Linked DNA regions of Danio rerio. The protein of the gene in region 1 binds, or shares a complex with, the protein of each later gene. Links are inferred from orthologs where the notes say so. Each region holds a gene or a part of one and is shown in the gene's direction. Other genes may lie near its edges.

Region 1 (6,891 bases):
TAATATGAAAAATATTTATTTTATCGCGCTGTTGATTTAAGAAGCGGAGTATGCTCGATAGACAGGAACGCTCCTATTGGTGTCCTCAATCTGGCAGCCTGCGCTCGCGTGGAGTCGTCAGAGGAGGGGCTGAGTGAAAATGTGTTTTGAACCAGGAGTGCAATACCTAGTTCAACCACTGGGTGTCAAACTTTCATACTGCACCTTTAAGAATTTTTCACTATTTGGACTAGAAACAAGACGAAGTAAGAAAGTGTTTTGTTTTTTGCAGTGAATGACTTGCACGGCCTTACCGTGTGTGTTGGACTTGTGCATTTTCCTCTGGAGGTTTGACAGCTGGCGAATGGGGCGGCTGGTTGTGGAAGGACATGGGCCGAAGATTCATTGCCACGCGATCCACCCAGATGGGGCTGCTGAAGTCGGGCAGCAGGTCAGAGTCATTGAAGGGCTCCAGGCCATGGTCGGCGAGGGACTGAGGGATGCTGGGAGTGCTGCTGGAGCGGGTGCTGGTCTCTGAGTTGCGGTGTTCTGGTTTTCCGGATGGCGTCCTGCGGGTGCAGTACGTCTGTTTGCTGGACAGACGGAGCGAGCGGGACATGTGTTTTCGAGACAGTTGCCGCTGACCGTCTCCATAATAGCCATGGCCACCGCTGTGACTCTCTGCATTACCCATGACTCAAAATCTGCAGCAGACAGATAAAAAAAAAAAATTCAAAGGGGGGCTAATAATTCTGACTTCAACTGTATGCTGAGCACTGTATATAATTCTGATATATTTCTTTCTTCTAACACTAGATTTAATACAGAGTGCACTTCATTAGGTCTGAGTAGGCCTGGGCGATTTGGCAAAAAGAAAAAATCTAGGTTTTTTATAAAGTCGATTCAGGATTTCGATTTTTTTATTGTGTTACTAGTCTTCTCAAAACATTACAACAACATGACTGAAGTAACATTCTCTTTAAAAGTAACATGAAAAACCATCTGGTTAAGGAACTTTGTATTTTTAATGGCCATGCCATACAAAAAAAAAATCGGTCAAATTGTAAATAAATGTAAAACAAATTCACGAGTTAAAAAGCGTTGCTGAAGATTTGAATAAGAAATATTTGTGTAAATACTGCAGTTGCAGGAATACAGAGGTATTTTTTGCAAGATTTGCTGAGCCTAGGAAAGATTGGCTGTCAGCTCTGCTTTGATTTTGTCTTCTGATTAAATGACAGGTTGTAATGCTGCTGCCTTTTTTTTTTTAAAGATACAGTGGAAGAAAAGGACTGAACATGGAAACTGTAAAGCCTAATTTAACCCAATGTGTGAAGTTGTGGACGTATAGCAGGAGCAAATAAAAGTACCAGATGTGTCTGATATAAAATAACATATTTAATAAATTTTTATTGTTCCCCCTTTTAAATACCGATCATTTGATGCGCTTTGCTCCATTCTCTGTATTATGCTGCCTGATCTGTCTGGTTTTCAACTACAGGGCTCGAAATTGCGACCATTTTGGTCGCATATGCGCCCAAAAATTAATCTATGCGACCTCATAATATATATGGGAGCATTAGTGTGACTACAGATAATGGTTGTAGTGCGACCTGTTTGGAATTTTTATAAAAACGTGCTGAATCGCTCTTCCTTGCCGCTATATTGGTTTATATAAGCTGTCAATCACTCAAGGTATTCCGCTGTCAGATGACAGGGAAGGAGCTTTTATGAACACGGGAAATGCAAACGGCTAAACAGTGTAAACTTAAAGCACACAGGTTTGCAAACCCCACCTAAAGTTGAGGCGCAGAGGAGAGCGATCATGACATGTGGTGAATATTGATCCGCCAGCTGAGATCAATCAAGTACGTGTTTTCGGAGAAGGAGCCTGAATCTCGATGCGTTGCTTTCACTGCGTGTTCAGCGCAAATGTCCGGTAAAAGTCAAATCTAATACTGTACAAAAAATATCATCGCCGTTACTAAGTTTACACTGAAACTGCGGCTCATAACAAACAGCGGTTGCGCCAGTGGTCATCGCAAGAATCCTGCTCAACCTGCTCATATATTGGGTCGGCTGACTCGCCTGCTTTTCCACTAACACAGAAAAATGAAGATCAGCTCAGACTGAACATTTAAATTGACACAAACTGAAACCAAAACTTTTAAAGAGTGATAGAAGTGAGACTTTACTTACTTTCTTTTGTCTATTCTTTCTTAAGCTGTATATTATTATTTTTTATTACGTTACTGATGACTGCTTTGCAGCTTTCAGCCTTGAATTGAATGATTTATTATAATCTTTTGTTTGTTTTGTAGCAGAAATATTATTTATCAAACTGACATGCATATATCAACAGCAGTACAAAATAAATATTTTTTACTGCAATGCTTCATTTTTAATTGATGCAAACTAAACATTTATTTTTCATAATTCATTCAAGCACATTTAAGGTCGCATGATGATAACAAATGTAATTCATTGTTACTATTATTGTCATTTTCATTATCATTAATATTTTATAATTATTCGACATTCATTTTGGAATTATTGCACACAAATATCAATGTCATCTAAGCATTAGTTAGATAGTTGTTTCTGGTTTTTCTTAGTCCTAATTGATGTTGTTTTAAAATACAATAAATCCCTTAAAATACAATTTGCAGCGGTGCTCAATCATTTTTGGTGGGTGCTCCTAAATTTTTTCTGGTGCTCCTAAATTTTTGAAGTTGGAAGCACCGGTGCTACCAAGTAAAAAAGTTAATTTCGAGCCCTGAACTAGGTCCGCTAAATGACGTCATGGGGGCGGGTACTTTCATTTTCTCTGCTACAGGCCCTCACCTCTACTCGTGTTCAAACCAAAAGATCGGCACTGTTTTTCACATGGCAGGGTTTTAAGTGCTTCATACATGTTGAGATCGAGTTTATCGACTTGATGAGGGAATATGTCTTGACAATCCACACAGACATAACTCAGACTAATGCAATGATTAAAATCCTACATGACTTCACGCTTTAACAGGCAGTCAACAGGTCGCACACGGCGCGCACATGACAGTTTAAACTATAACACACCAGACGTGCGCATTCGCATGATATTTAACATGAAACGAATCTGATGGCGCTCTGTGGCGTGGCTAAAATATGATATGCGTTGTGAATCATGGCTGGGCGGCTCCAGTGTGTATAGAAACCTGTTTAGAATTCTAAAATCCATGGGGCTGTGTGGTGCTGCGTGTCGCCGAGAGGCGCTTCTGGTGTGCTTCCTGCTTCATACAGAGAAGGAACCAAAGCGCATTGGTGCCATTATAATGTATTAAATATATTTTTGAAAAATCACGATTCTCGATTTAATATAAAATAAAATCATCGTCAAAACGTAAATTTGAATTAATCGAAAAAATCGCCCAGCCCTAGGTCGGAGTCTGTTTCTCATTGTTGTTGTCTTTTTTTCTGTACAACACTTTGCTTCGACACTAAAAGTGCGTTAAAAATAAATCGAGTTGAGTTCTATTCATGTATGAGTTTCTCACAAGATTATTTGCTTTCTCTGATGGCTGATACATCCTGTGTCAGTTGTATTACCTGCGGTGTTGCAATGACTTCACAGTCATGACGGATTTCACTCTGCATACAGATCAGCTCCTAACACCATACTCTCTTCACTGCATTATAGGTCACTTACAAACTCTGAAAAACAAACAAACAGAAAGCAAGAGAGTTATACATCTGCTATTTTAAAAGACTCCTAACACAGCAGTTTGTGAGGCAGTACAAGGGGACACACTGTAGTGGGATAAATATAGCTGGAGCGCACAGAAATAAGACAGAATTAGAGCTGAAAGAGCGATTGACGCTGAAGACCACACATGTTCAGTCGCTCTGGACACATTCAACAAACGCAAGATGATGGACTTGACTTTGAGCCGCTAAATAGGAGCCTGAACTTGTGTGTGTGTGTGGTCACAGAGAGAGAGAGAGAGCTAGAGATCAGCCTGTGGTTACTGCTGCCGCCAATAAACCACAGCATGAATGGAAATATACACACAGCTAAAGCCAAAAGAGACATTTTTCATAAGATTTAAGAGGAGATGGTTAAAACACACTTCGGCTGCTAATGAATAGCATGCTAGCTGGTAAAGCGACTCGAGTAAAAACAAACACCGCAGACATTTATAAGCTGTGGATAAACATGTACTAAATTTCCTGACACAAACTAATCTGAAGGCATTCAAACTGCATGAAACACAAAGAACTCGCTGTAGTGAGATTTGATGATGGGGAAGTTAAAAGCTCCACCGTATCGCCTCATAGCGAGTGTTTTGACCACTTAAAAGTGATTGCTCAATGTTGTAAACAGACTTCTGGAGTGTTATTCACATGAAAATACTACAGGGTGTCACGGTCTAGATAAGAGAGAAAATTGGTCAGACACAGGTGCAGGTCTCAACAAAGTTTATTTAATTAAATAAATTAATTTATTTTAAAGCCAAAATTTAGCCAACATAAAAGTCTTCAAAAAGGAAACGAAAAATTACTCCGTAATGGAGCTGGCATAGAGGCCCAAAGTTCACAAAAACTCAAAAACTTAGACGTTAGCAAATAAAGACTTCAAAAATTATGAAAATAAAACTACTCTGAAGAGGCTGGAGGAACGGTCTTCAAGAGGGTGCAATACCCTGATTCCCGACAGGGGGCGGTGAATCCGGCCTCCGCTGTCTGGAACAGAGCGGCCACGTGGAAGACTGATGCTGTGTTCACACCAGACGTGGTACACGCGGATAAATCGCGCTATTCGCGCGTAAATAGCCGCGTGAACATTTGAGTTTACTCGCTTCATTCGCGTGTCAACCCCCGCTTCATTGGAGCGTCAAATCCGCTTCAAACGCGTGTCAAATTCACTTCAAAACAGACGCGGATACGCAAGATGGGCAAGGCTTCTGTCTGCCCGGTGACTCTAGCTTCATAGCTAAATGGCTAACATGAATTTTATTAAGAAAATAACAGTGTTAATGTGCTTTATGGAGACTGAAAAACAGCGTCGATACGTTTAGGGTCCTGTCTGAGTCCACTGCATCCTTTCAGAGGTGCATCCAGCTCTGTGAGCTCATAAACTCCTACTCCTATTCGCACCGCGCCATTCGCGTGTATCGCGCCGCAGGATGTCTATTCGCGCGTTTGCTTTGACTTAACATGTAAATCACTCGCGCTTGACGCGTGTTCCGCGTCTGGTGGGAACGCAGTATGAGGCTGAAGCCTCCTTTCCACTGCACACGACAAACGACAAGCGACAGACCGGAAGTCATTCATTTCCAATGGAGAACTGTAAGGGAGCTGCGTAGAGTTACGATCATCTCCGTGTGAGGAAAATTTGGATCCGAATTGAGCTGCGGATCCGTCAAAATATTTGAACTCCTGCGACTAGACCGCATGCGACCTGCCGACCGGATATGATGTATTCCATTGTTGTCTAAACAGATCCGTTAGAGGATCCGTTAGAGGAGTTTTTTTGGTTATTTTTCGAATTATAAAAAGTCTATATTAAAACAAAAACTTTTCTGTTCATAAATGCAAATAAGAAAGTAATAAAAATATACATTTTTAATGTCTTCTCCATGTCTTTCTAGTATTCATTCATCTATTAAACCATGTAAACTTATAAAGAATAAAGGCTCTTGCTTTTGCCCTTATTTATTTCGGACACCGTGTGAGAATCAGCTTCTCCCCCGTGGTGCACGATAACACTGAAAATACTGTGCGGCTGCCACAAGGGGGCGTATTCCGACAGTCGTGTCCAAATGTCATGTGCAGTGGAAAGGCGGCTTTAGTCTGAAACTGCATACTTCCATACTATATAGTACGCTAAAATCAGTATGTAAGCCAAGTAGTATGTCCGAATTCATAGAATTCGAAAAACAGTATGCGAGAAGTACCCGGATGACTTACTACTTCCGGTGAGATTCTGGACTGCGCATCTTATTCAGGCTGCGCTATCCCATAATGCCCCGCGAGAGAATTCATGAATGGAAGTGAAGCGACGCAACTGACCTAGGTAGGTCACGTGACCATGACAAAATGGGGGATGTAGTACGTCCGAATTCCATTCATACTTTTCACATTCATACTGTATAGAACGTACTTTTCTATTGGCCGAGTAGTACAATTAAGTTCAAATGCAGTACCTACTGGGTAGTAGGTGGTTTCGGACGCAGCCTAAGGCTTGGAGGCCGGCAAGAGTGAGGGCCGGCTGGATAGAGACGGGGAGTCAGATGGGCAGCAATACAAAAATAGACACTTCACGCAAGAGGTGCCACAGCAATGATTGCAAATAGAAAGGATCTAAGTCACAGCTGAGAAGGGAGAAAAGCTCCAAAATGAAAGATCATTAGTGAAATCAGACCTGGGCCGTGACACATTTCATAAGTGTAAGTGAAAGGTTGTCTCCTTGTTTTCTCCAGCTTGCTAATCATGTATTTAATTGTGTTTTGTTACTTATAACCGCTTGCGCTGTATGTGGTTAACTCTTTATATTTCCATATCGCATCTAATGCCATGGTGAAAACATGACGCGTGCCACTGTATTTACGGATTTAAATGCGTTGGTGAGCTCGCGTTTCACTGCCGTTTGTTGTTGCTACCATACCGTTGTATGATGGCCACCACCAGCTGTTCCTACACACGTGCAGCGGTCAAGGTTTAAAATAGTTCAGGTTTTGCTGCTGTGTGGATTATTACTAAATGTGTGTCATAGTTAAGCATAGAGCAATATGCTGGTGTGTAACTGCACTGCTTTCGGGGGTGAGGTGTCTGAATACAGTTGAAACGTGTTTCAGGCGTCCGCTGCAATCGGATCCTATACTAATGTTGGCGACCAGGGGGCTTGTCAAACCGCTCTGAGCATTTTACTAC
Region 2 (6,102 bases), on another chromosome or scaffold:
TTAGAGATTTGTCTGTTTTTTGGTCAGCCAGGAGATAAAGTGAACTAAGGCAACATGATCGTTCTCCTAATTGTCCACTGCTAAAAATGTTTTAAAAATATGATGTGACCTCCCATATAGAGGTTGCTAAGGGCCCCTTGTGGGCCGGGACCCCCCTTTTGGGAAACGCTGCTTTAGACTAAGTACTAATTTCTTGTAAAATATGTACTTTCATCATGACAAAGACGAAAGAAATTTGTTATTAAAATTATTATATGCAAAAATGTGCTGACAAAAATCTCCATTAATCAGCAGTTGGGAAATAATTGGGGAAAAATGTGTTAATTTACTTTTGTCCTCAAATTTTGTCCTCAAATGTATGTGTGATGTCATTAACCTCTGCTGTCTGCGTTTTGCTTCAGGACGGTGAAGTCTTACTGGATCACTAAAGGCAACAGCTTCAGTACCACCATCACCAAACAGGAGACCGAACTGACCCCGGAGATGATCGCCAGGTGAGAGGGAGACCAGTCGCTTTCATTAAGTACAGCATTCCAAAAACACTGCAAATGGAACCTATAATGCTGTGTTCACATCAGACGCTTTATTCTCGCATCAAATTCACTTCACAATAGATGCGGATTTGCATCATGGGCAGGGCTTTTGTCTGCTCGGTGACTCTAGCTTAGTTGCTAAATGGCTAACATGGATTTTATTGAGAATATAACTGCGTTTATGTACTTTGGGAGGATTGAACAACAGCATCGATTAATTTGCCGCTGTGTCTGAGTCAGTTGTGCACCCAGCTCAGTTCATCAACTCCTGCAGAAACTATACCTGGATGATGGAGGCTCTCAGCGGTGCTTTCGACTGAGCCGAGCCCAGTTTGATGTACTGTTGTCCATTGTCGGCAGCAGGATTTCCCCTCGGGACACCAACAACAGGCGTTCCGTCATAATTGCGCTCCTACAAGAGCAAGCTTCTGATTGGTTAACGCAGTGCGAATGTCCACTGAAGATTGTCCAACTCAAACGATTTGTCAAAACTTGCGCCACTTCATTTGCGAGAATCGTGGCATTCATACCGCCTCATTTGCGCAGATCGCGCCGCAGGATATCCATTCGCATTTTGAGTAGACTTAATATGTGAATCACTCGTGCTTGATGCTTCATCCGCATCTTGGGTGAACACAGCATAAAGTTACAGTGTGTACAAGGACAATAAAGTGTGTGGTGCATATGGAAGAAAGTGATTGTGTGTCCTGCAGGTGGTTTGTCAAGCCCACTAACCTGTGTTGTGATCAAAACAAAGTATATATGAATGTTAATTTGAAATGTAAGTCACTTTGGAACCCAAGTCAAAAGCTCTTTCAGGTGAAAAAAAGACTTCTGGATAAAAAATGTTCTGTATATTGTGGTATAGTGCGTAATGTCTTGTTTTTTCTGCTCCGTGTTTCAGTGGGAACTGGAAGGAGAAGAAGTTCAAACCATATAACTTTGAAGCGATGGGTGTTGCTCCAGACTGTGGTCACCTGCACCCGCTCATGAAGGTCCGCACGCAGTTCAGGCAGATCTTCCTGGAGATGGGGTCAGTCCTTCATACTCGCACAACACTCCAAGGAATACTGGATTTGGGCCCAATCCCAATTCTATTTGTTTGTACCCCTACCCCTTTCCCTTGTCCTTTGAAACAGAGTGTGAAGGGGAAGGGCTTCAAATGTACCTCTAAGAAATGAGATGGCACTACTACAACACCTGCACACATTATTATACGTCACTGAGATCTCTTCCTTCATATGAGATCAGTGATGACGACTGCTGTAGTTATTCCAGTTGCTTTATTTTTAGTATTTATCTTCAGGAAATCACCGAAGGCAACAATATCATGTTATCATAACAATTTAATGTGGCAATAAGATTGTAACTGTAATGTGCATTTACACTTTGACCATATTCATCCATGTAAACACAAGAAAACAACATTAACATTATACCAGGAATTGTGTCTTAGGGTGCTTTCACACCTAGACTTTTTGTTTCGGAACCCGTTTCGTTAGCGCAGTTCGTTTGGCATATGTGAATCCACAAACAATCGCTTCAAGATCCCTTGATTGAGGTGGTCTCGGCTCGATTGAAAGGAGCTGATCGATTGTAGTAAGAAATCGATACGATCCGAGCCCGGTTATATCACAGTGTTTTATGGACATGTAATAGGCATACAGCTATATATAGAGAGAATTATGAGTAGGGCGGGAGGTCATTCCAGACATCCCAAGTCTCCTGGAAGTTTTGTGAGTTTCCCGCAAATGAACAGAGACTCCTGGATGCCCGCAAACAAGTGATAATCTCCCAGAAATTATGCGTCTCTCTGCCGGTCCTCAAATACGTCACGCACCCTTCTCTCCCCTGCCCACTGCATCCCTCCTCACTCTTCAGACACGTCGCGCACACCTTGTCAAACACCACCAAGCCACCACTCTGACCAATGTGAGGAGAGTTACACACACGTGACTTGTTTTAGCTACTTTTTTCCATTTAGAAACTTTTGCCGTGTGAAAGCGAACCGCACCAAGTGCAAAGAGCAACAATGTAACAATTTGAATCCCCGTTTCGGAACAACTGAATCGATTCACAGGTGTGAAAGCACCCTTAGGGAGCAATGGTTATACATTTCCTCGAGGGCAGCTTCCACTATCTAATATGATTCCAGCATGTTAAAATACATACACTGCAGGCAGTAGCTTTGTGCAAATTTGTGAGTGAAAGTTCTGAAGCGAAGTAAAGGTTTGGTGTTTGGAGGTAACTAATAGACCACTGAAGGCTAATCATTTACCTCTATAACAATGTTTTGATTCATTTTTTTTTTTTTGTCGGTTTCAAGTCATATTACAAGTATATTCATGAGTATTTTGTCCCTTGTTCACAGATTCACTGAAATGCCCACTAATAACTTCATCGAGAGCTCCTTCTGGAACTTCGACTCTCTGTTTCAGCCACAGCAGCATCCCGCCAGAGACCAGCACGACACCTTCTTCATCTCCGGTGAGAAATTAAGAGTCTGTTCGTCACTCTGCTGGAGTTTAATTGAGAGCACGTGTGTGTTTCTGGTGTTGAAGGGGTTGTTTGTGTTTGTCAGATCCAGCATTGGCTCATGAGTTTCCTCGGGATTATCTGGAGAGAGTGAAGAAAGTTCATTCTGAAGGAGGTTATGGCTCACAGGGGTAAGAGCAGCCATGCTTATGGGTTATTTACTGATTTGCAATGTTTATCTGGGGGTCAGTAAGTAAAAAAATCAATTAATGATGCTTGTATTTAGCAGTTTATATATCCAGAAATAATCAAAAGTGATGGTAAAGTCAATTATAATGTTACAAAAGTTTTTTTTCCTATTGGTTTATTTGTAGGAAATAGAAAAACTATATTACAGTGTTTCCCAACCCTGTTCCTGAAGGCACACCAACAGTAAACATTTTCAACCTCATTCTAATCAAACACACCTGAATGAACTCATAAGAACTTTAGAAGAGACTCCAAAACCTGAAGTGAATGGGTCAGATTAGGGAGACATCTAAAATATGTACTGTTGGTGTGCCTCCAGGAACAGTGATGGGGAAAAAGTATTGAAAAAAGGCAAAAATCATTTGAATATTTAGTAAAGATCATGTTCCATGAAGACATTTAGTAAATTTCCTAACGTAAATGTATCACAGCTTAATCTTTAATTACTAAAATTGCATTGCTCAGAACCTAATTTAGACAACTTCAGGGGTGATTTTCTCAATATTTAGATTTTTTGGAACCCTCAGATTCCAGATTTAAATAATAAAGATACTAATAAAGTTGATTTATTTAGCTTTCATGTAATGTATAAATCTCACTCCAACCCCAAATGTGTGATATAAAATATTTTTTTTACTAATTAATTAACTTCAAGTAAAAAAAGTGACTTTAATTTAAATCTTACACACCCTAAACTTATAAACAGAAATTTATGTCTGTAGTTTTAACATCTCGAATCAATTTTAAGATACAAATACGACTGGAAGATTGAAGAAGCTCAGAAGAACCTCTTGCGAACACACACCACGGCGGTCAGCGCTCGCATGCTGTATAAACTTGCACAGCAGGTAAACACACACACACATGTTGGTTTTGGGGGTTTATACTGCAAAATCCAACTACAACCCAACTCTCATGTGGCTAAATTTTGAATGTCAAAAGACCCCAAATATGATTTTTAACAGTCTTGACTTAGAAGTACACCTGTTATGTCCTTATTAACCCCTTGTCATTGTAATACCTGTGAGATCATACAAATTTGTGTCCTCATAAACCGACAAATCCTGTACACACAAACACACTTGAGTACTGGTTTGACGGCCAATTGTTTCACATTTCATCCTCTCAGGAGAAATTCACACCGGTCAAGTACTTCTCCATTGACAGAGTTTTCCGTAATGAGACTCTGGACGCTACGCACCTGGCGGAGTTTCACCAGATTGAAGGAGTGGTGGCCGATTATGGCCTCACACTGGGAAACCTCATGGGCGTCCTGCACCAGTTCTTCACCAAACTAGGTATGAGACTGCTCGCTTTTAAAACAAGATACACAAGTATAAATCCTATTTAAACAAGTATATAGTTCACTAGTTTCACTTATTAGTTACATCCGTAGTATTTTCCCTACTAGAGAAAATGCCACTTTTTTTAAAAAACGTTTTTCTTAAATTTCTGGAATATTTTCTGTCTGTTCATATGTTTTTGGACCAAAAATATTTTAGACTGGACCTTTAAATGATACAGATTGAAGCTTCAGGTTCTCCTGTTTAAAATAATATATGACATATGACATTACAATAATATCTATCTATATATATATATATATATTAAACAAAATAGCTGTAGGTGTTTAAGGGTCAAGGCATTTCAGAGCCTTTTTTTGGAAAACAATACCTTTATTTACCATACACCATTTTGCACAACTTTGCAGACTGTTTATATTGAAGGACAGTCGTCTTACAAACCCCAAATACTGTGTTTTTTTTTAAGAATAATATGACTAATAGCTCTTTAGAAAGACATCCTGATTTTCTAAGTCATGATATTTACTATACGTTTTACTATAAGCATGGTTGTTTATTGACATGAACTGAAAATGAGCAATACTTCATTATAATGTCAATTAAATCATTTCCTAATTCGTTATTAAAACACAAAGTTATGCTTGTTTACTTTAGTTCATGCACTGATTCGGTTAACACTAATGCTGAATGAATGCATTTTCATTTCCGTTAACAAAGATGAATAAATACTGTAATGTAGTATTCATTGTTCATGTTACTAAATACAATAGCTAACATGCTTAGCTTAACTAATGAAACCTTTTTGTGAAGAGTAAACCTGGTGAATTGCTCAGTGTTGGATGTCTGTGTTTCCTAATTCAGACATATAATTTTCAATTTTTTTATTTCAGGAATTACAAAATTGCGCTTTAAGCCTGCGTATAACCCTTACACCGAACCCAGCATGGAGGTCTTCAGTTATCATGAAGGTAAAATATGGCTATTTACATGTGTAAATGTACATGTGTTTACATTACGAAATTGTTTATAACCTGCATTTTTTCTATGTTTAGGATAACTAATGAAGGCAATAGATATTTTTTTTAAGTGCACATATAATATACTTTCAACTGTCTTTAGTGCGTGATGTTGCTGTTTGAGCTTTAAAGGGGACCCGTTATGTAAAAATCACTTTTATAAGGGGTTTAAACAAAGTTGTGTGGCAACAGCCTGTGAATATAACCAACTTCTAATGCTAAAAATCTAGACATTTTGGTTTTTATAATCACACTTGATAAAAAACAGTCTGCAGAATCACTTTGATTGACATTAGCCCCTTTCACACAGTGATACCGGTAAATTTCTGGAAAATTTCCGGAACGACTTTACCGGTATATTGAAAAAAGCGCTGTTCACACAGGCGAGGATGTTACGGAAATTTTCCGGAAAAGAGCATTCACACATCCATTCCAAAATACCGGTAAATTCTGACATCATTCACCACAAATAAGCTTTAAACGGCTGCGCTTGTATTTGTAAACATTTGACTAAATTACAAACTC

Evidence for each region.
Region 2: the proteins of farsb (region 1) and farsa are in contact, whole or in part, in a crystal structure (PDB 3L4G), measured with the Homo sapiens proteins. The link is inferred for Danio rerio from reciprocal best matches to the Homo sapiens genes FARSB and FARSA. Residues at the interface, in NP_005678.3 of Homo sapiens: Glu26, Phe29, Gly32, Leu33, Pro68, Ala69, Asn70, Ile150, Arg152, Asp259, Thr261, Lys262, Arg305, Lys316, Lys317, Val318, Gly319, Ile359, His360, Cys362, Asp363, Glu366, Ala369, Ile370, Tyr374, Asn375, Ile377, Gln378, Met379, Thr380; in NP_004452.1 of Homo sapiens: Ser221, Gly222, His223, Leu224, His225, Leu227, Leu228, Arg231, Ser232, Arg235, Leu239, Gly242, Phe243, Thr244, Glu245, Pro247, Asp249, Asn250, Phe251, Ile252, Glu253, Ser254, Phe263, Gln266, Gln267, Phe277, Phe278, Leu279, Arg280, Asp281.

The regions. Positions count from the first base shown.
Region 1 is NC_133190.1:45,134,601-45,141,491, reverse strand, and holds the start of farsb (phenylalanine--tRNA ligase beta subunit), read left to right. Parts: upstream 1-2,262; 5' UTR 2,263-2,741; intron 2,742-3,567; exon of another isoform or gene 3,568-3,672; intron 3,673-6,891.
Region 2 is NC_133178.1:12,427,733-12,433,834, forward strand, and holds part of farsa (phenylalanine--tRNA ligase alpha subunit), read left to right. Parts: intron 1-401; coding exon 402-494; intron 495-1,437; coding exon 1,438-1,566; intron 1,567-2,904; coding exon 2,905-3,020; intron 3,021-3,114; coding exon 3,115-3,199; intron 3,200-4,005; coding exon 4,006-4,105; intron 4,106-4,386; coding exon 4,387-4,555; intron 4,556-5,451; coding exon 5,452-5,529; exon of another isoform or gene 5,530-5,895; intron 5,896-6,102.